3 linked regions of the Schizosaccharomyces pombe genome follow. The gene in region 1 interacts genetically with each later gene. Each region holds a gene or a part of one and is shown on either strand. Other genes may lie near its edges. The genes, in order: prp1, brr2 and rna14.

Region 1 (8,322 bases):
CTTTTAGCCTTATTTTGGGACTATACTGTTCTTTAAGCTCGAAGCGTTACTATCCAAATATATAGCAATAGGCAGAATTACGGATAGCACGTTGTTTTAAGCAAGCGAAGAATTAACCTGCGTTCCCTATCATTAAACAAATTCACAGTTACCGAAGTCACTCCGTAATAGGAGGTCTAAGAAAGTCTTACGATAATTCAAGAATGTTACCTATGGTGAGACCCGAGTCCATAAAAATGGGTGGGATGCTTTTCATTGCTACTATTGGGAGTTTGCCAACCACTAAAATTTTTACCTAATTGCACATTATATTCAGGTGAAATCTCAAATATAAAAACGGGATGGGGGATACTCAACAACCAACAGTGCTGGATAGATTTGCGCCTCATGCATTAGATACCAGTGAGGCAGAAAGACTTTCACGGGAATATCACAAAAATGGACCGTATAATCATGTTGTGATTCGTCCTCTGATCAATGATACACTTCTTCGAAATGTTCGTAAGGAACTTATGGAAAACATACATTTTACAGAGAAAGTAACTGATATTTACCGTGTTTGGCAAACTGGTGATCTAGCAAACTTGGATGGATTAGACAAGAAAGAGCAAAACATGCTTAAGTATTTGCGTCAAGTTCGTGATGCTCTTTACTCTGAGGAATTTCGCTCTCACGTTCAAAAGATTACCGGCTGTGGCCCTTTATCGGCTAGCAAAAAAGATTTGTCTGTTAATGTTTACTCAAAAGGATGCCATTTGATGAATCATGACGATGTTATTGGTACCAGGTGCATTTCCTATATCTTATACTTGGTAGAACCTGACGAAGGTTGGAAACCCGAATATGGAGGTGCACTCCGGTTGTTTCCTACATTACAACCATCCTTTCCTGCTGCTGATTTTTGTCACTCCATTCCTCCTCAATGGAATCAACTCTCTTTCTTCCGAGTTAAGCCCGGACATTCATTCCATGATGTTGAAGAAGTTTATGTAGATAAACCTCGAATGGCTATTTCCGGCTGGTTTCATTACCCTCAGCCTGGCGAACCTGGTTATGACGCTAATTACTGCGACAATACCGTTTCTACTTTGCAGTCTTTAACAATGAAACAAATGGACTTAGAACTTCCCCGGTTTTCATACTACCCAGTTGTTAAGCCAGAACCTTTATCCAAACAGGATACTGATATTTTAAGCAATTATATTAATCCACTTTACCTGACACCTGATGGCATTGAAAAACTATCAAAACGCTTTTTTCAAGATTCTGTTATTGTTTTAGTAGAGTTTTTAAATCAGGAATTTGCAAACACTCTCCTTAAGCGAATCATCGATGCTGAAAGGCAGCCCACTCCTATGCATTCTTCCGAAGTGTCATTCCCTTGGAAAACTGCCATTCCTCCTCATAAGCACAGGTACCTATATTTAGATCATGAAGAGTTTGGCCCTGATATTATTTTGCCCATGGATTTGCAGCGCCTTCCTGCGTTTCAGCGTTGGATCCAACTTGTCAGTGGCTTACCCCTTCGTTCCTTTCATCAAGTTGGTCGACGATTCCGCCCTGGTTCCGATTTTACGCTTGCTACTACGAATGACACAGCTTTACTAGAAGCTACTCTTTGCTTATCTCCGGGGACAGGCATTGCGAATACTGACAATGGTGCATATGATATTTATATGATTGGCGATGAAGATCCTGATGTAGATGCTGCTGTGTATAGGGGTGATCAGCAAGATGACAGTATTTTGCTTTCTTTGCCAGCCGCTTGGAATGTTTTTTCTTTGGTTTATAGAGATGAAGGTGTCCTTCAATTTGTCAAATATGTGTCGCGTCAAGCCGAATCTAGTCGCTGGGATATATATTCACAATGGAATCCCGTTGCTGAGTAAAGGCAACATATACTTAAAAGGGGTTACTTAATTTTTTTTTCTCTAATTTTTTGTCTTATTTTTGAAAGTTTTTCCCTTGTGTTTTTTAAAACCCACTTTCGTGTTGATAGTGTGTATTACATAAAAAGTTTTGGTTTACACTTTTACTGCTTTCTTAACTGGTATTCTTGTTGATTTAAAGTAAGTGTTCAATCGAACCTGTTTAAAAATCGTTCTTTTTTATTAAAAAGTCCGTAAATTTACAAATATCTAAAGTAAATTCGAATACCAATTTAAACATTAATTTTAAGATAAATAATAGATCCAATATGTTACAGTCATCATTTTTGTCGTAATCATAACACATTTATGGCAAGATGTAATAGTTCCTGCGGAGTTTTCCGAGAATTTTTGATATCTTTAGTAATACTGGGCCAAAAATAACCATGATGAGGATCAGCGGTTTCAAAACTTGTAAGCACTTCTTTCTGTTGGTCTTCGTTCCCAGCCTCTAAGCTATACTTATAAAACCAACACCACACATCTCCGTTATCTTGGTCAGCCTTAACAGCTTTTAAAAACCAACTACGCGCCTTATCTGCTTTTTTTTCCAGCCACAGCATCCTGGCGATGGTGCAAAGTAAATGTGCATTGCCTTCACATTTCCTTAAAGCATCTGTAGCACGAGTTTTACGCTGTGCGCGAGGTTCAAGCCATATAGCCTCCGTCCACAGCAAACCCGAAGATGGGCATTCCTGCAAGGCCTTAGCAAGGGCTGCACGAACTTGTGAAATATTCCCCGCCCGGAGTTCCATTTTTATAAGTTCAAGCCATAAAAATTCATTCTTAGGATTTTTAACCTTAGCCCTATCAAACACAACTCTCGCGCGTATAACGGACTGCTTTTCTTCAAGTTTGGCTAGCAAAAGCCACAAAGGTATGGAATAAGGACAAACTTTTGTGCCAGCCAAGTATGCGTCTCGAGCAAGCTCAATCTGCTCTTTATCTTCAAAAATTTGACCCTTCATCATGTACAACTTATCATAATGGGGATAAATTTTCAGTGCATTTTCCAAAAGTTGTAACGCCCGATCTTTTTCGTCCAAAATTCGTTCAAGCGAAATGGATTTAGTCCATATTCGTTCAGTTCCCGATTCGATACGAGCACGGGCAAGTAGCTTTCTGGCACGTTCATTTTCATTGTTCACAAATTCAATTCTGACAGCAGCAAGCCATATCTCTTCGCTATTAGAATTATATTCAAAAGCTCTCCCAAGAATATTCCGAGCACCAGCAATATCATTAACGTTTTTTCGCTCTTTAGCATAAAGCAACCATAAAATTTCGGCTTTAGGACATGATTCTACAGCTTTTTCTAAAATAGAACAAACACTTTCTGTTGTACCATACAGCTTTTCAAGTTCAACAGCTCTCAGCCAAAGTTTCTCACTTTTTGGATAGACTCTTAAAGAAAAAGCAAAAACAGCACGCGCACAATCTATACATTTACGAGCTATAAAAGATTGAGCATCATCTAACCAGGTGTCGAATTGATCTTCTTCATCCAATCCAACACCGAGGCACGTATTAATTATAGCTTGTGCAGTAATCACTGCCCCTTCAGTTTCGCATTTTTCAGCCTCGGAAAGCCACTGATCGCGTTGTAACATACCACCAGTAGCCTGTAACTCACTTACACCACGAGCCATTATTTTTTCCACCCGTGATACATTACCTTGCTGTTCTTCCAAACGAGCAGCAGCAATCCAAACCTCATGGGAAGTACGGATGGTTTGTCTGGCTTTATTGAGCACCTTTTTAGCATTCTCATAAGTTTCAAGTCGAGCAAGAGCTAACCATAAATCAATGGACATGGGTATTAATTCAACGGCACGAGCTAATAGTATCCTTGCATTATCCACTTCTTCTTCTAAATTTACAGCTTCTTTCCATAAGCTTACAGAAGTCGGGTTAAATTCTAAAGCTTTTTTTATAATCCTTTTTTTGTGCTGAGCTTGATTTTCAAGTTTTTCGGCTTCAAGCCATAACGTCACTGACTTTGGTAATTTTTTAACGGCATTTGCAATAATAACTTTTGCTTCTGCAGCCGGGTGTAGTCGTATTGCTTCTAGCCAAACATCCTCAGAGCGAGAACAATTTTCGCAACCTTTTAAAATTAAAGATTGTGCTTGAGATAATTTATTCGCGACCTCTTCAAGCCGCGCAGCAGCTACCCAGCCAGAGGCGTGCTTTGGATTCGTTTCAATAACACTTTGCAACAATTTTCTAGCTTTTCTTATATCACCCAGGTCATTGGCATTTTTTGGAACCATACTATTCAGACTAGTTAAATACCCCTTCGGATCTATAGTCGATGGTGAAGTCAAATTCGACGAAGCTTGTGCTAACTTGATACCTAAAACTTTGTCACGAGCAGCTCCAATTTCAACAAAATTTGTTTTTGTCCCATTCATATCTGGAGTTTCTGTTCCTGCTTGAGTATCCACTGCAAAATTAGAGATAGCTTGATTTTCATTGCGAGCACTTGCAAGAACAAAATCACTTGTTGCATAAAATCTTTCACGTCTCGGCTGTTTAGTCCTTTTTTTACGAGTTAGATCGCCGGGTTCTGGGATATTATTCCAGTCTTCATCTGTCAAAGTGGATAACCCACGTTTTAAGTCCGCAAATTGTGAAGAAACCTTGGGGTTTTCTTTTTCATATTTTTCTTTCTGTAGCTGTTCTTGTTTTTCACGTTGGGATTTTCTTCTTTTACTTAAATGTTCCTCTACAGATTGATATATTTTATCAGCTTCTTCGTCCTCATGATCATATGGAGCAGTAGCAAACAGCGCTACTTCATTGTCAGGATCCTGATAACGAGGATCGATATCTTCTTCTTCCTCTATTTCTGATTTCCTTTGTTCAATTGCAGCCTTTATAGATTCTTGGGATGGCAATTCTTGAGCAGGCCCAAGATCTGAACGCGTTGTAAATCCTGTTGCACCACGTCCTAAACCTGCTACATAGTTAGGAGGTGGCTGCATATTCAGAAAATCTGGATAAAAGTTTGCCATTCTAATTATCTGCAATTAAATGCAATAAGCCGAGCCTTTCGGCTTTATAAATATCTGGTAGTGGCTTTCAAATTTTAAAAGTAGGCAATACGAAGAAGAGAAATTAACTCCTAGCAGCTTTACTACAACAAAGTTAAAAAGAGCCATTAGGTAAAAGTAAATTTAGAAAAACTTAAGATAGAATATTTCTTAAACAAAATAAATTTCCTACTGTATGTAATGATTTTACAATCAAACGATATATAAATAAGCATTGTGATTGACTTGTTATACACTGAACCGCTAACACACGAGTATTTATGATTTAGCATTTGATAGCCAAATAAATTTATTAGATTTTTTGCAACAATTTTGAAAAAATGCATGAACAGTGTTTTCTTCCTTTCTTTTATTTTCCTACTTTTCTTTGAAGATGAATTTACACTTTGTAAATCAATGTCGTGTAAAGTATGCAGAACGGTTGAAATTACGAAAAATATTGTTCATCACAAGCTTTGTGAGTATTGGAATTAAACAAATCTTAATTGAATCCGAGTGATAACTGGACAGACGTTGCAGCAATATTTTTGCATGGCCACTACGTTTGTCTTTTAATGTCTCGGTATATTATACTGGTGTTTCAAATCAATGCTCATCGTATCTAGTATGAGTGTACCTGGACACATCAGTCAAATTTATTTTCGCTTGTAAATTGTCTTATTCTTTATCATAATGCCAAACCATTGTATTTAGAATTTTATTTGCAAAGTAATTTACCAAAACATATTTAACATCTTAAATAGACATGCTTGAGCTACGTTGATTAAGTGTTTTGATTATAACTGCAGGTTGTGCAAGGCTAATGTAATATCTTTTAGAAGTATATTCGTTGGATTGATAAGTTCTAAGAAATTTATACTGACTCCAGCCATAAGATGCAAGCAAGTCAGTTTCACAAAAAAGAATAAAAGATTCAGATATGTTAGATTAGAATCATCTGCAAAACACTGATATCAAAATATGATAATAATCGGCAATATATATGGCTCGTTTCATTTTTAACTTAGCTTTTCCAGGTTAATTTTGGGTATTAAAATTGTTCTATTTTATTCCATTTATAAATATAGGCATGAATTATGTATGTAGTGTGTAAATAAATTTGGTTTAAAGAAAATACGGCAGCTAATCTAGCTGTATCTTTTTCTCTTTTTTTTTTTTTTTTTTTAATATTATAAATTTCAGGAGTACCTGTGTAAATGATAATGATATATTCAGAATGATATTTTAATAAATACAGCGTATATTAACCATCTGTTTACAACTTGAGTGAGTATAGTAGAATCTGATGTGTGGATTTTCACTTATCATAAAAAAAATTCAAGAAATATTAATTAACTATTGTTATTTTAAGACTGTGTAAATAAGCTGTTTCTACAAATCTCCTGCTTGATAACATTATATATGCCAATGTTATTTACGCTGTCCACTGTTGCGTTAATACATGGATACAGCAATGAGTATTCTATTCGAATATTCAATATAAAAATGCAAGCTTACAGGAAATGATACAAATGTTGTTTTAATAAGCAATATCTAATCAGCAGTATAGGTAGACTCGACAGCATACATCTGCACTCGGAAGTCTAAATATGGTAATAGTTCATGCACAGTATTCTTGGTTTTTAATTTATTTACACAATAAAAAGAATAACCCCAGGATGTTCAATTATTGGACCTCTGGAGTTCTACAAACAAGGAAAATTGAGTTATAATGATATTACTCGTTGCAGTACTGTAACGTACTGCAATTTAGTTTATAATTAAACGAATTAATAAGAGTTTGGTATGCAGGATTAGGAGTATTAATTAAGCCCTCTGTAAAACATGATGGTATTTTAGTTGTAGCGATACGTTAATCAACAAGATGCACGTATATTATTAACTAATGTTAATATTCTGCCTACCTCATGTCCATCCATCCATAAACACCTATAGCAACCCATGTCGTGTCCGCACCTCACAGAGACAAACGTTGTAATCCCAGATAATTCTCAGGTAATATATCGTGAAGAATGCGTCCGTTGCTTTAATTCGCAGGTATGTTTTTTAAATAGCTTGTTTTAAAACATGTACTCAGAGGAGTTCAAATTCGTTAACAAACGTTAGGATGAAGAAGGTGGAATTGATTTATGCTTAACCTGTTTTCAATCTGGATGTGGGGAAACTGGGTTAAAACACTCACTTGTCCATTTTGAACAAACTTTGCACCCAATTGTGGTCACCATTGCCAGGCAACCTAAGCAAAAAATTAATGATGAGCCTCCCCAAAAAATTACGAAACTTGAGATCAGAGAAGATAGTGATGAAGATTTATATGATTATTTTTATGTCCCTAAGTGTTTGGTCTGTAATATAATATTAGATATACAGGATCCCTTACTTTCGTTATCATTAGAGGCAATGAAAAATGCTACCAAGGCATCAAACAAAAGTCAATTAACTGCATGGGAAAATGAATTAACTACTTGTGATCATATAATAAATTTACCAGAAAATGAAACTTACGTCACAAATTTGGACAATGCTACATGTTCAAAATGTGATCTTGCAGAAAATCTATGGATGTGTTTAACATGTGGCGCATTAAGCTGTGGAAGAAAACAGTACGGAGGAGGTGGTGGGAATGGGCACGCCCTTTCTCATTATGATGATACAGGACATCCGCTTGCAGTTAAACTCAAAAGCATTTCACCTGATGGTCAGGCTGATATATATTGTTATAGTTGCGATGAGGAAAGAATTGACCCAAATATAAAGACACATATGCTAAATTTCGGCATCGATATCGCCAAGTTGAACAAAACTGAAAAATCTTTGGCTGAACTACAATTAGAGCAAAATTTAAATTGGGATTTTGGTGCCTCCGAAGAGGATGACGCTTCAAAAAGATTGTTTGGACCAGGATTAACTGGTCTTAAAAATCTTGGTAATAGCTGTTATCTGGCCTCAACTATGCAGTCGTTGTTTTCTATTAAGGAATTTGCTATTCACGAATTAAACCTTTTCAACACTTATAATTCTGTTTGTCAAACCCCCACTACAGATTTGCAATGTCAACTTGGTAAACTAGCTGATGGTTTAGTAAGTGGGAAATTTTCTAAACCTAGCAAAATTGGTTTACTCAATAATCCTTCTTCATCGATTCTTCCTTACCAAGATGGTTTGAGGCCTTTTATGTTCAAAGATGTTGTGGGACAAGGGCATTCTGAATTTGGAACTTCTCAACAGCAAGATGCTTATGAGTTTTTATTGTATTTGCTGGGGAAAATACGGAAATCTAGTATTGCGAAAACTGACATTACTAAGATTTTTGACTTTGAAACGGAGCAAAAATTATC
Region 2 (10,564 bases), on another chromosome or scaffold:
GGTCTGTAGTTAATTTCAAAGTTGAAGTCTTGTAAAAATAATTGCCAACGAGCTAAACGTTTGTTTTCAGGCTCGGATTCGTTAGTAATGCGACCAATTAAGTTTCGATGGTCTGTTAAAATTTTGAAAGGTTCGATAGTGGATTCTAAATAGTGTCTCCAATGTTTGAGAGACTTAATGATTGCAAGCATTTCTTTGTCCGATACGCTATAATTTAATTGTGCTTTAGACATCTTTGCTGAATAGTATCCAACAGGATAGTATTTATCATCATCATGTTTTTGAGACAATACGGCTCCTACAGCGACATCTGAAGCATCAGTTTCCAGTAGAATCTTTTTACTGAAATCAAAGTGTCGTAGCACCGGAGGAGAAACTAAACATTGTTTAATGTTTTCTATCGCTTGGGTTTGTGTTGGTGTCCATTTCCAGCGTACATCCTTTTTCAAAAGATTATTGAGTGGATGTGTTAATTGTGATGTCTTTGGAATGAATTTCCTAAGATAATTGACAGAACCTAGAAATTGTCGTAATTCTTTACGATTCTTAGGTTGCTTCCATTGTAAGACTTTGTCTATATTTTCTTGACAAGGCGTAAATCCTTTTTCCGAAATGTGATACCCTATAAATTTTACTTGTGATTGGTGAAATTCACATTTTGCTTGATTGATAATTAAGTTCGCATTTTTCAATTTCTGTAGAACGTCTTTAACATGTTTTACATGTTCAGATTCCGATTTTGAATGAATTAAAATATCATCCATATAACATACTACATGTGATTCTTTGGCTTCACCAAGTATTGTATTGATAAAGTATTGAAAATGTGCTGGAGCTGTAGATATGCCATAAGGCATTACTAGATATTCAAAAACTCCACGAGGACAGCGAAAAGCAAGTTTATGTTCATCTCCTTTTCTTACTCGTATCAAGTGATAGGCACTTTTGAGGTCAAGTTTAGTAAAAATTGTAGAACCTTGTATTTTAGCAAGTAATTGTTCAATAAGTGGTAACGGATATATATTGGGTTTGACATACTTATTTAAAGGTTTGTAGTCAACCACCATTCTCAAGGTGCCTTCCTTTTTCGGAACGAACATTACTGGACAGGCGTTAATGGCTTTAGATTCTCGTATAATTCCACTTTTTAATCCTTGATTAATTTCATCATTCATAGCTTGCATTTTTCCCGGTGGTAGCGGGTAATTTCTGATAGGTAATCTGTAGTTTTCTTGAGTTAGTTCAACTTCAAATTCTAACCCTTTTATTGGCTTTGGTAGCTTTTCCGTATTGGTTTCTGCAGTAATGTCTTTGAATTCTTTATAGATATCTGGTAACTCAGGTTCCTTGACAATATTTGAAACTTTGTTCATTTGAGAGAGCGTGTGTTTACTGCTAGATATTTCAATGTTATTGTCATATAATGTTGTGAAGGAGATAGCAGCTGGATGCGAAAATTTCTTTACAACCAAGAATTCTGTTTTGATTGATATTCCATTTAGACTTATGTTAAGTTTTATTGTTTTGCGATTAATCTTATTTGGATAAACTCCACCATATATCACACTTTTTGACCAGGGTCTGGTAGGCAGTTTATGTGCTCGAACAGTTTCTTCTGTTATAATATTTGCTTGAGCGCCCGTATCGATTAGACAGGGTATTGAGCACTTGAAGTCTGGAAGTTCAGCTTGTAATACCATTTCGTAACGTTTCCTAGTATGATTTAGGAATTTGTTAGATGAGTATTCTATTCTCGAAACATTTGTCTTCCTCAGGTTTCTGCTATTAGTGGTGTTATTTTTCTTTGAAAGGGACTCTTTTCCTAGATTTTTATTTTGCAGTTGAAAACGCTTGTGAGTTTTACCATACGAGGCTGTTCTTTTGTCCTCTAAAAAGTCATAAATTTCACTGATTTCTGATTTCCAGTAATTTCTTTCCTTTAATTTCCTTAAGGAATATGGCAGCATCCATAATATAAACAAGCGAGTATGGAAATCATCAACATTTGCTTTTGACATGAGTTTCCTTATAAATTGAACTTTGTCCAATTGATTTCTAAAACCTTCAAATGTTTTAGTTAAACGATCACCTTTGTTGGATCCTTGTACTTTCCCTGTTTGTCTGAGTAATTCTTGCCATGTAAGACTTCCATTCTCAGAAAACATGCGTTCAGCGAATTGTTGCTCTAATTCTTCTAGGTGATTCAATGTATACTGTCTTTTAGTATGCTCATTTGGGAATAATGAAGGGTATTCAGTAAAGTGTTGATCAAGTTTTGAAATGTAACTTTCAACATCCTTATTAGGATCGAATTTCCCTATCTCTGGTACATGCTTCGATAATATTTTTGCAAAAAGGTTTATTAAATGTTCGTCTGATGTTTGAATTCCATCCAAATTCTCTGGTCTCCATCGTTTTGCTCTTGCTTTCATATAACGATAATTTGCGTAGGACATTGTATATGTTTCCCTTTGGGAGATTTCAAAAGGGATAACAGTCCTTCCAAAGTTCTTTCTCCTTTGAACCCAGAAGGAGAGAAATATATATATTTATGATATATATTTATTCAATAATTCCTTTTTCCTAAAAGGAGTTAATTGTAGATCACAAGAGTTCAGTTATTGTAAGCTACGCAGTTTGGTATCTGATTTAAGGATACGTAGAACTGCGGTGAGCTTTCCTTGTGATCTATTATATTACAATACACAGGTTGTATAAGTAGCAACTGAGTATAGGTATTGTATTAACTGGGTTATAATGTTACCTATCACTAATATAGCTCATAACTGAACTGAGGAACGAGGTTCAGCAGTAGCTCTATTTATAGTATTCAGATAATATTGATCTTAATAGATTATCATTAAGATCAATCTCCATATCGTATCATACATGGTACGATATATAATTAGAACATGTGACATATAGTGATACTCAACGTAGTGTATTATAGCGTAGTGTAGTATTGCTGACAGAAATGAACACTTCTAATACCTCGAAGTAGACGAAAATTGAAAATTCAGTTTATCCTCCGCCACTCACAATCATGTCGAGTGCACATCCTAAAGGGGACTCGAAAGAGCCTCCCAAACATGGAAATAGTAAGGAGAAGCCAAACTATGGTCAATCACAGTATAGTTATTCTGCAATGTCAAATTTGGTTACGCAGGCTGATCGAAGATTTGTGTCACGACGTGATGCTGAACCTACAGGCGAACCGGAATCTCTGGTAAATCGAGTTAGTATTGCAGATATGGGTTCTAGAGCGAGAATTGAAAAACCTAGTACCCTTCCTCTCGAATTGACGCAGGAAGTTCAGGAGGTCCGGTTACCTCGTAAAGATGCAGAATCCTTAGAAATTGGTATACGGCAACCTGAACGCGAAAAGCGCTCTTCAGCGATACTTAAATATTTTGATTCTTTTGAAATTTTGAAATATAATCCTCTAACCGACGAGACCCGAGAAGTTTATGATTATATCTTGAGTTTCATTCAACAATACCTTGGCGATCAGTCTCCTGAAATCCTCCGTTCTGCTGCTGATTTGATTATTGAACTTCTTAAGGATAGTTCTTTAGATGAACAAGGTCGTAAAAAGCAAATAGAGGAGGTTTTGAGTACTGAACTCCCACAGGATCGGTTTTCACAGCTCGTTAACTTGGGAAATCGCTTAACAGATTATACAGTTGAGCAAGAAGAAGAGTTAAATGAAGAAGGCGTTAATGAATCTGGCGTACCAGTATTGTTCAATGAAGCCGATGAAGAGGAAGAAGCTGTTGAGGCAATGGAAGAGGATGAAGTGGCAGAAGATGAAGACGTCGTCTTAGAAACTTCCATATCTCAAGAAGAAGAGAAAAAGAATATTGAAAATCCGGATACAGAGGTTACATTTATTTCTGCTGATACCAAAAAAGTTACCGAAATACCCACTGTTCATCCTCGTGAAATCGATGCATTTTGGCTGCAACGAGAAATAGCAAAATATTTTGCTGACGCCGTCGTTTGTCAGGAAAAAACAAATCAAGCGTTTGAGGCACTTTCGGCTGATTACGATCTCGGTGAATTGGAAAATGAATTGATGAGTATTTTTGATTATGAACATTTCTATCTTGTTCAACTTTTGACTAAGAATCGTTGGACAATAGTTTCGTGTACAATGTTAAAACGCGCCGCTACTGATGAAGAACGCTTAGGTGTGGAAGAGCAAATTCGTGCTGCTGGTCGGTCTTGGATTCTCGAAGCTCTACGCCCTGGTGCTATCACTATACCTGATGACGGTTTAAATGAATTAAATAATAATGTTGTTGAGAAAGCTGAACCTGCGCCCGTTTCTGAAATTCCACTTTCGAAAACTTTGACTTCCCATAAAATTGTACCTAAGCACCAAGTTGATCTAGAAAATTATGTGTTTACTGAGGGATCACGTCTCATGTCTAATAAAGCTGTCAAGCTACCTGAAGGCTCGTTTCGTAGGACTGGTAAAGGGTATGAAGAAATACATGTTCCTGCCCCCAACAAAGCCGTACTTGGCGCTGACGAGCGTCTTGTAAAAATCAAGGAACTGCCTGAATGGTCTCATCAAGCTTTTCTTAATACTCAATCTTTAAACCGAATCCAAAGCCATCTTTATCCTATCGCTTTTGGTACTGACGAAAACATCCTTTTATGCGCTCCTACTGGTGCTGGAAAAACAAATGTAGCAATGCTATGTATCCTTAACGAATTACAAAAACATTTACGTGAAGATCTTAGCTTTAACTTACAAAATTTTAAAATTGTTTACATTGCTCCCTTGAAGGCGTTGGTACAAGAGATGGTTAATAATTTCTCAAAGAGGCTTACTCCATACAATATTCGAGTCGCAGAGTTAACTGGTGATAGTCAATTGACTAAACAACAAATTAGTGAAACTCAAATAATTGTAACCACACCCGAGAAGTGGGATATTATAACTCGAAAAGCTAATGATTTATCTTATGTCAATCTAGTCCGTTTAGTTATTATTGATGAGGTTCATTTGCTTCATGATGAACGAGGTCCTGTATTAGAATCTATAGTTGCTCGTATATTTCGCCATCAGGAGGAAACTCTTGAACAAGTTCGATTAGTAGGTTTGTCTGCTACACTTCCTAATTATACCGATGTTGCCAGTTTTTTACATGTCGACCCTAAAAAAGGGCTTTTTTACTTCGATTCGACATATCGTCCATGCCCTTTAAAGCAAGAATTTATAGGCATTACAGAAAAAACACCGTTTAAACGAATGCAGACGACTAATGAAGCTTGTTATGAAAAAGTTATGCAACACGCTGGCAAAAACCAGGTCCTCATATTTGTACATTCGCGCAAAGAAACCGCTAAAACCGCTCGTTTTATAAGAGATAAGGCACTAGAGGAAGAGACCATCGGTCATTTGTTACGCTCTGATGCCGCATCCCGTGAAATTCTTCGGGCTGAAGCCGACTCTACCAGTGATGAAAATTTGAAAGATTTGCTCCCATATGGGTTTGCCATACATCATGCTGGTATGCGACGAGAGGATCGCCAAACGTCTGAAGACCTTTTTGCCGATGGTACTATACAGGTACTAGTGAGTACGGCAACTCTGGCTTGGGGCGTAAACTTACCAGCGCACACAGTGATCATCAAAGGGACCCAAGTTTATTCTCCTGAAAAGGGTATCTGGACAGAACTCTCTCCTCAGGATGTTTTGCAAATGCTTGGCAGAGCTGGTCGCCCACAATTCGACACATATGGTGAAGGAATTATCATTACCGCCCACTCTGAGTTACAGTATTATCTATCACTAATGAATCAGCAGCTTCCAATTGAGTCTCAATTTATGCGCCGTCTAGCTGATTGTTTAAATGCCGAAGTATCGTTAGGAACTGTTCGTAGTATCGAAGATGGCGTAGACTGGCTTGGTTATACATACCTCTATGTTCGAATGTTACGATCCCCTGCCCTATATAGCGTCGGCCCAGAGTATGATGATGACAAATATCTTGTTCAAAAAAGAGCTGACTTACTTCATTCAGCTGCCATTTTATTAGAAAAATGCAAGTTACTAGTGTATAATCGTCAGAGTGGTACGTTGACCGCTACGGAATTGGGAAAAGTTGCTGCAAGTTATTACGTTACTCATAACTCGATGGCCATATATAATCGTCTTTTAATGCAGACAACATCCTTTATCGAGTTATTTCGAGTCTTCAGTTTTTCTGATGAATTTAAGCACATTCCTGTCCGTGAAGAAGAGAAAGTTGAACTCGCGAAGTTGCTGGAAAGAGTACCAATTCCTATTAGGGAAAGATTAGATGAACCTGCTGCCAAGATTAATGCCCTTCTCCAATCATATATATCAAGACAACGCCTGGATGGATTTGCACTTGTGGCAGACATGGTATACGTTACGCAATCAGCGGGTAGAATTATGCGTGCAATATTCGAGATATCATTGAGACGTGGTTGGTCATCTGTTGCAACACTCTCTCTTGATACATGCAAAATGATTGAGAAAAGGCTTTGGCCAACTATGAGCCCCCTTCGACAGTTTCCCAATTGTCCTTCTGAAGTAATACGCCGCGTTGAGAAAAAGGAATTTCCTTGGCAGCGATACTTTGATCTGGACCCTGCTGAATTAGGAGAATTAGTAGGGGTGCCAAAAGAAGGGAGGCGTGTGTACAACATGGTTCAGTCTTTTCCAAGGTTGAGCGTCGAAGCACATGTTCAACCTATCACAAGATCGCTTGTGCGGGTCGAACTTGTTATAAATTCTCAGTTCAACTGGGATGATCATTTAAGCGGCACTTCTGAAGCTTTTTGGATCCTTGTAGAAGACGTGGACGGGGACCGATTGCTACATTATGAACAATTTTTCCTTCTTAAAAAATACAAAGATGATGAGCATATTGTAAATTTTACAGTACCTTTGTTAGAACCTCTTCCTCCTTGTTACTTTATAAAGATAGTTTCAGATCGATGGTTACACTCGATAACTAAGGTACCTCTTTCATTTCAGCGCCTGATAATGCCAGAAAAATTTCCTGCGCCAACACCTCTTCTTGATCTTCAGAACGCCCCGGTCTCTAGTCTTAATAACCCAAGCTTCATTTCCCTCTACCCTAATTTTAAATTTTTTAACAAGATTCAAACACAGGTGTTTAACTCTGTTTATAAAACCAACGATAGTGTTTTTATTGGTGCTCCCAATGGAAGTGGAAAGACTGTTTGTGCCGAACTTGCTTTGTTACATCATTGGAGTCAAGAAGATTATGGTACTGCAGTTTACATTGCCCCAATTCAGGAAATCGTTGATCGTCGATATGAAGAATGGTATGGCAAGTTTTCTGACCTCGGTGATGGGAAAGTTTTGGTAAAATTGACGGGTGAGCGTTCACAAGACTTGAAGCTGATACAAGTTGCTGACTTGATATTTTGCACGCCATCGCAATGGGACTCATTGTCGAAGAGATGGAGAAGTATGCGAAGCATTCAGAAAGTTGATTTTTATATATGTGATGAATTACAATTGCTTGGTGGATTTTATGGTCCATTATACGAAATAGTGATCTCACGGATACGGTACATGGCAGTACAATTAGAAAAAAATATCCGAGTGGTTGGCCTTTCAGTATCTGTTGCTAATGCTCGAGATTTGGGTGAGTGGCTTGGGACTAGTCCACAATGCATATTTAATTTTAGTCCTAAAGACAGGCCTAATCCTCTTACTATTCATTTGCAATCATTCAGTATTACTCATTTCCCTTCCCTTATGTTGGCTATGAGCAAGCCTATATATCGCAGCTTGAAGAACTTTATTTCTCAGAGAAAGTCTACTATTGTATTTACTCCTGACAGGAAAGTAGCGAAACAATTAGCTTTTGATTTAGTTACATTCAGTATGGCTGATGAAGATGAGTATTTGTTTTCGTTAATGGAGAATGAAGCTTTCAATAAAGTTGAAGATGCTGCCTTGCAGCAATCATTGAAGCATGGTATTGCTTATATTAGTGAAATCACATCGTCCAATGATCAGAATATTGTACAATATCTTTACCGTCATGGACTTATCAAGGTTTTGATAGCTTCTCGCGATGTTATTTATTCCTTAAAAGCAAAATCAAACGCTGTTATTGTGATGGGTACTCAATACTATGATGGCAAAGAACATCGTTATATTGATTATCCTATAAGTGAGTTATTACAAATGCTCGGGTTTACTGCTAGCATTGGATCAAGTGAGCTTAGCCAGGTTATTCTTATGACTGTCACTACTAAGAAGGAATATTACAAGAAATTTTTAAATGAGCCATTACCCATGGAAAGCCATCTTCAAGTTTGGCTGCACGATGCTTTCGTGTCAGAAATATCTACGCAAACCATTGAAAGCAAACAAGATGCTGTAGATTGGCTTACATGGTCGTATATGTACCGGAGACTAGTTGCCAATCCTGCCTATTATGGTCTTCAAGATATCACTCATGAGTCGGTTTCTGAATTCCTTTCGGATCTTGTAGAAACAACCATGAATGATTTGAGTGAGGCACGCTTAATCACTGTAGACGATGAGGATGATAGTTGTGTCGCATTAAATTTAGCAATGATAGCTTCTCATTACGGAATTACATACATTACTATGCAAACGTTTGCTTTGAGCTTGTCAGAGCGCACGAAGATGAAGGGATTACTAGAAATTGTTACATCAGCAGCAGAATATGAGCAACTCCCAATTCGAAAGTATGAAGATATTGTGCTGGAGCGAATTCATTCCCGCCTGCCTGTTCGCTTAAGTAATCCTAACTATGAAGATCCTCATACGAAATCATTTATTCTTCTTGCAGCTCATTTTTCTAGATTTGAATTGCCTCCTGGTTTAGTTATAGATCAGAAATTCATTTTGACTAGGGTACATAATCTTCTGGGCGCTTGTGTTGATACATTGTCTTCCGAAGGCCATTTAATAGCTTGTATTAGACCAATGGAGATGTCGCAAATGGTTACGCAAGCTTTATGGGATCGTGATAGTCCTTTAAAACAGATACCCTATTTCGACGACGCTTTAATCGAACGATGCAATAAAGAGGGTGTTCATGATGTCTTTGATATTATCGATTTGGATGACGAAAAACGTACTGAATTGTTACATATGGATAATGCACATCTTGCCAAATGCGCAGAGTTTATCAATAAATATCCGGATATTGACATTGATTTTGAAATAGAAGACTCTGAAGATGTTCACGCTAATTCACCCTCTGTGCTTATTGTTCAACTAACTCGAGAACTGGAAGAGGATGAAGAAGTTGATACGACTGTCATTGCTCCTTACTTTCCAGCTCAAAAAACTGAACATTGGTGGCTTGTAATTTCGGATGACAAAACCCTCTTGGCAATTAAGAAGATTACCTTAGGTAGGTCCTTGACTACCAAGATGGAATTTGTGCCCCCGGCAATGGGAACTTTAAAATATAAACTGAGCTGCTTTAGCGATTCTTATATGGGTGTGGATTATGAAAAAGAATTTGAATGCAACGTTTTGGAACCTTTGGACACAGAAATGGAAGACGGGGAATAAGGTATTGTGCAAAATATGGATAATTCCCAAATTAAAAATTTTGACTTGAGGGTCAAAAGAACTGTTAAATAATTATTTTTTGAATTCATTGTATATTTATTTGCTAATTAATGGATGGTTTGATTCTTTAGCTTTTCTTTTTCAGCAAATTTATTGATGCCATCAGCGTGTGCAAATTCTTAACAACCAAACATGCATTACTAGGTATGCAATGATTTCATATGAATACATGAACATATGTATATATTTATAATTAATGAAGTCAAATTTTGATTTTCAAATAATGCGAAGATAGATTTTCATGTTCACTTAGGAGAATTGTTTCAGTGATGCTATTGAAAGGAGAGGTGTAGCGAGACCTGTGGTAATGTAGATAGTTAAAGTAATTTTCAAATGTTTTAACCTGAAATTCAAAAAATATGCAACGTTTATTACCCAAGACTGAAGAAGCGAAGAGTTAGATGTTAAACTACTACAATACGCTGATAAAAATCAAGCAACACGAGTTCTTATCCTGCGCTTCTATTAAAAATATTAAATATCGTATTTACTACACTTATATACATATTGATATCATTTTGTTTTTGTTCATAAACCACCCAATGTAGATTCAACAATTATCGCTAGATATATATATATATTTATAAGCGAACAGAAGCTATAAAATTATTAAGAGAATACAATGATTAGTTATTCTGTGCACATAAATGTGGAACCACTAGCACTAAAGTGTTGAGATTTACAAGGAGGACTACTGAAGTGCGAAGTAACACCGTTTATATCGTCAAAATATAATGTTGAATTTACTATATTTAATCTTACCTAGCCAGTACTTACTAATTATAAGGGAAAAACTCGACGTGAATTGTTTGCTTGCTTATTCGCGATTACTAGATTTAGAAGAGAATTTTCCCCCTTCAAATTGCAGAACAGTTTAAGAGGTCGTTTTCTGAACGCGCGTATTTGATTGCTTATTTACCAAGAAAGTGT
Region 3 (4,946 bases), on another chromosome or scaffold:
ATGTTTCTGTAGCGAACAAAACCTTTAAAAGGCCTTCCTGAAACAAAATCTCGATGACTTCTTTCAAAATTGGCAATAAACCAGAATGATGAATACCAATACCACGTCTAAGAAGAGGTAAAATATGCTCTATTTGTGGTAACTCTCTATCCTTCTCCGATAATTGGTTCACTGCATTATTAAAAATCGTGGTGACCAAATCTCGCTCAGTTTGGTCGTTCATGTCTAACTTTGACATTTGCAAGGCCAAAGCTTCACATTCTCTTTTGCTAAAGCTAAATACAATAACCGGGTTATAATTTTTCACCATAATCATTTTTACGATTTTGTAAATATCAGAAGGTCCTTTGACACCGCCTTTTCCGGTCTTTCCTTTCTTTGCATTACCTTTAGTAGCCATAGCGGCAGGGTCATCGCCTTGTTTTTCCATCAATGCACTCATTGCTCTTTGAAAGTTTTCTTCTCGGAAATTACTTTTCTCATCAACCACTAAATGAATGCCATCGCTACCGCTAGGGAATAGGTAATGTTGAAGAGGCGTAGGTCGAAAATCTGTATAAACTACATGACAAGGCTGACGATGAATTTTTGTAATCCATTCAGCAAATTGCATAGCATTTGGAATTGTAGCAGACAGGAAGACAAAATGTGATTTGTCGGGTAATAAGATAATGGTCTCTTCCCAAACAACACCGCGCTCTTTGTCACGCATGTAGTGAATCTCATCAAAAATAACCCACGCAACTTCACGCATAACCTCTGAACCACGATACAACATTGAACGGAGAATTTCAGTGGTCATAACCAAACAAGTAGCATCTGGATTAATAGTAACATCACCAGTCATAAGACCGACATCTCCAAATTCAGCAAGAAGTTCTCGATACTTTTGATTACTTAAAGCTTTGATAGGACTTGTATAAATAACTCTCTGTTTATCACGAAGCGATTGAGCAACTGCATATTCTGCAACAACAGTTTTACCAGCAGATGTATGAGCACTGACCAAAACTGATTCTTGACGCTCAATACAGGCAATAGACACTGCTTGAAAAGGATCCAAAGTGAAGGGATATGTGCGCGCAGGGGGTATGGGACTTTTATGTTTAGAGATAGGTACATAATCATAATTTGGAGGAATAGAGACTTGATGACGGACCTGATGACGAAGTTCTACAACTTCTTCAGTAGATGATTTAGCTTCGGTCATCCCAACCTTCCCAGCAACTTGTAATGATGCTTCCTGCTCAAAAGAATCAGCTACCGTAGCCTCAGGTATAGTATCGCCTTCGTTTTTTATAGATACTTCATTGGAAATATCATCAGCAGCAATGTCTCCTATTTTTGGCTTATGTTTGGTATCAGCGACTGCAGAATTGTTAATATGAATTCCGTTAACATCATTGTTAGGAATAAGGTCTTGGTTATCCTTCAGATTTTCGATTTTAGCTCTTTTAGTTGCAGATTCTTGTTCCCCTACTGAAGACTCCAACTTTTTTGTACCTTGCTCTTGGTTAGAGGCATTTTTATCTGTTAAAGTACGCTTTATTTTTTGTGAATTTTGTGAATTTTGTGAATTTTTAGATTCCTCCTTTAAGCTTTTTGGAACTTTACCTTCAAAGACTCCAAAAGCATCATCTAACTCACCACCAAACATCACAATTAAAAAGATTTCTTAAACTGCAATGTGGAGTTGGTGTTGGCAAAAATCTGTTTTTTCTCTGTTTACGAAAGATGTATTAGCATTTGTTAAATAAATTATACTACTTGATTCACTAAGTTACCTAAAGTATTGAAGCGTGAGCCTCACAAAATAGAATTAAGCACTGTGAAGTTTCTCCCAAATGTAGACAAATTTCCTTTATAACCAGCATTATGAAGCTTGCAAGTTGATTAAAAGTATTGAATGTTACCTCAATGTTACTGAAGTAACAATTTCTGTATGTATCAAATGCGAGAAAGCTGTGTGAATTCTACCAGCGAATACTTAAATTATGAATTCTGATGACAATGTCGAAGCCGATGCTAGCTCGAATATTATAAAAGATTCTCCAAAAATTAAAGAACAAGAAAATACCTCAACAGTTAATGAGAGTGATGTATTAGCAACTTCGACGACTGCCAGTAGTGGTGTAAAACGAAAACGTCTCCCAAATGACCTTGTAGGACAATTACGGGATAAAATACAAGAGAACCCTAACGATATTTCTTCTTGGTATGCACTGGTAGAAGAGTATGGATCTAAGGGGAAGCACGAAGAGTTAAGAGAAACTTATGAACAAATGTTGCGACCTTTTCCTTACGTTCCACGAGTTTGGGTTGATTACATTAGTTCTGAGCTTGCCTTTAACGATTTCCATGCCGTTGAATTGTTATTTAGTCGATGCCTTGTCAAGGTTTTATCGGTTGATTTATGGACGTTGTACTTAAGTTACATTCGTCGAATAAATCCAGATGGTGAAGGACAATCTCGTTCTACAATTACTCAGGCTTATGAGTTTGTAATAAATACTATTGGTGTTGACATACTCAGTGGCCCTATATGGTCTGAGTTTGTGGATTTTTTACGTTCTGGCCCAGCTAATTCAACATGGGAGCAACAACAAAAACTAGATCATGTTCGTCGAATTTATCAAAGAGCTATCACTACACCTATCCATAATATTGAAAAACTTTGGCGTGATTATGATGCATTCGAAAATAGTGTAAACAGAGCAACGGCCAGAAAATTTGTAGCTGAGAAGTCTCCTGTTTATATGGCGGCGCGGGCAGCAATGAGGGAACTTTCAAACCTTACAGAAGGACTCAGAGTTTACGATTTTACCTTTGAACGTAAGTATACAAAAGTTGAAAGAATAGCGTATTCCCGTTGGATGAACTGGATTAAATGGGAACAAAGTGATCCATTAGATTTACAACATGGCACGATGTTACAGAATCGAATTGCTTATGCCTTTGAGCAAGCGATGTTGTATGTTCCCCTTTGTCCGCAGATATGGCTCGATGGATTTTCTTACTTTTTGAGCATTTCGGATGAACAGCGTGCTCTTCAAACTATTCGTCGCGGAATGCGTTATTGTCCTTCAAATTTTGTTTTACACGTTCGCTACGCGGAACATGAAGAAGCGAATAACCGTACATCTGAAATCCGCTCTACCTACGAATCTTTAATTGCAGCTTTAGCTCGGGAAATTAGTCAATTGGACTCCAAAGCATCGTCGTCCTCTGAAAGCTCAACAGATGGAAACCCTCAAGAAAAAAAATTACCTGAACACCTAGTAAAGCGTAAAAGTAGACTTGTTCGTCAATACAGTCTTGCTTGGTGTTGTTTAATAAATGCTATTAGGAGGACTGAAGGCGTGAAAGCAGCTAGAGCTATATTTACCAAAGCTCGAAAAGCACCATATCAGTCTCATGAGATATATATAGCTAGCGCGATGATGGAACATCATTGTTCGAGGGATCCGGTTATTGCCTCTCGAATTTTTGAGTTGGGTATGAGACATTTTGGAGATGTTCCAGCCTATGTTTATAAATATTTGTCATACTTAATAGCTATAAACGATGAAACTAATGCTCGCGCGCTATTTGAGAAAGCCATCCCGAGGATTGCAGCTGATGAAGCTAAACCCATATATCAAAAATGGCTTGACTATGAAAGTAATTATGGCGATTTGAATGCAGCTATAGCACTTAGTCAAAGAATGGCTGTTGTTTACCCTCAAGAGTCCACACAAGCCATATTTTTATCGCGCTATGGCTTGAAGGATGATGCTGAGGAAGAAGAACGGGAAACAAAAGAAGCGGAAAAAATTAGAGAACTATCTGTTCGCTTAAATGGAGGAAATGGATTCCCGGGCCATGTTCATAACAACAGGGAAGATGATGAAGTTTCTATAGCCTCTACCTCTTCTAAAAGTAACGTCGAAATGGAAGATACTCGTTTACTTCCTGCGTCTTTGGAATTAGCAAACACTCAAGGAGCATCGAATCCACCTACTTCAGCACTTCCAACTGTTCCGGTACCGTTACCATCTATAATAACCGAATTTTTGGATGAACTCCCAGCTCCTCAAGTAATAACTGGTATGTTGCATAATTGCGCGTTTATTGACTAACTATCTTTTAGGTCCTCGAATCCAACCAACAAAACTTATCGATCATATTATTAAATCAGATATCCCTTTCATTCGTTTACGAAATGCAAATGCACATTTGAAGCGTGCCAGATTTAATTAAAAATTTAGACTATTGCAAAGAAATTTTCTGCACTCTTTCCATTTTTGGTGGTGAGCAAAGTGAACTAATAATGAAATAAAATTAAGTTTTAGGAATGATCGATGTTAAATTACAGCGCCAAACGATATAGGTATATTTTAAAGACGAGTTTATTGTATTACTCAATTTTATCTTTTTTTTAATATATTAATCGTTACAAGAGCAAAGCAATGTGAATTTAGATTTGAGGTTTTGGGTCAAGTATGTAAAATGATTTCGCAAATCATAAAATTCACTTTGGTATTGAATATAATTAGAAACTTTAATCGACGCTGAACCCTTACTTTAAAATTTCCTTTTTTGCTAATTATTCTTAATTTGTGAGGAATGAAGTTTGAGCTTCATCGCATTTCGCATTTAAATATGGTAACCGTTCTTATATTAAACTTAACCGTATTTAAAGTGGTGCATGAAGCATAACTACAGTAAAATTATGTTAAATCAATTTTTAAATTACAGTTGACTCGACACAGAGTACAAAGTTAACTATCCGCTTATTATCTTAAATTTTCTATTTGAAGCTTGTAAATTATATGAAAAGTATTTATTGGGAACTACCCATCGATAACATGATGTTTTCCGTAATTTAATATAAGCAATTATGTGATAATACTAATTTTCTTTTCTTTTTTGTAATGTATTCGACCGCAACTTCATGTTCTTAAATT

Evidence for each region.
Region 2: mutations in prp1 (region 1) and brr2 are lethal when combined (synthetic lethality), as found in Schizosaccharomyces pombe (one study listed by BioGRID).
Region 3: mutations in prp1 (region 1) and rna14 impair growth when combined (synthetic growth defect), as found in Schizosaccharomyces pombe (one study listed by BioGRID).

The regions. Positions count from the first base shown.
Region 1 is NC_003423.3:2,638,613-2,646,934, reverse strand, and holds prp1 (U4/U6 x U5 tri-snRNP complex subunit Prp1), read right to left. Parts: upstream 5,015-8,322; 5' UTR 4,946-5,014; coding exon 2,225-4,945; 3' UTR 2,038-2,224; downstream 1-2,037. Other genes in the region: ofd1 (2-oxoglutarate and Fe(2+) dioxygenase domain-containing protein 1), read left to right, coding at 342-1,889; ubiquitin hydrolase Ubp14, read left to right, coding at 6,926-7,021, 7,091-8,322. UniProt on the Schizosaccharomyces pombe protein: Involved in pre-mRNA splicing. Interacts with prp6 and prp13. May also be involved in the regulation of the G0-G1/G2 transition. Required for pre-spliceosome formation, which is the first step of pre-mRNA splicing. This protein is associated with snRNP U5.
Region 2 is NC_003424.3:1,457,739-1,468,302, reverse strand, and holds brr2 (U5 snRNP complex subunit Brr2), read left to right. Parts: upstream 1-3,023; 5' UTR 3,024-3,043; coding exon 3,044-9,574; 3' UTR 9,575-9,858; downstream 9,859-10,564. Other genes in the region: Tf2-1 (retrotransposable element/transposon Tf2-type), read right to left, coding at 1-2,456. UniProt on the Schizosaccharomyces pombe protein: Involved in pre-mRNA splicing. May be involved in endoplasmic reticulum-associated protein degradation (ERAD) and required for growth at low and high temperatures. Required for pre-spliceosome formation, which is the first step of pre-mRNA splicing.
Region 3 is NC_003424.3:1,346,786-1,351,731, forward strand, and holds rna14 (cleavage and polyadenylation specificity factor complex subunit Rna14), read left to right. Parts: upstream 1-1,978; 5' UTR 1,979-1,994; coding exon 1,995-4,086; exon of another isoform or gene 4,087-4,129; coding exon 4,130-4,239; 3' UTR 4,240-4,446; downstream 4,447-4,946. Other genes in the region: TRAMP complex ATP-dependent RNA helicase subunit Mtr4, read right to left, coding at 1-1,657. UniProt on the Schizosaccharomyces pombe protein: Component of the cleavage factor IA (CFIA) complex, which is involved in the endonucleolytic cleavage during polyadenylation-dependent pre-mRNA 3'-end formation.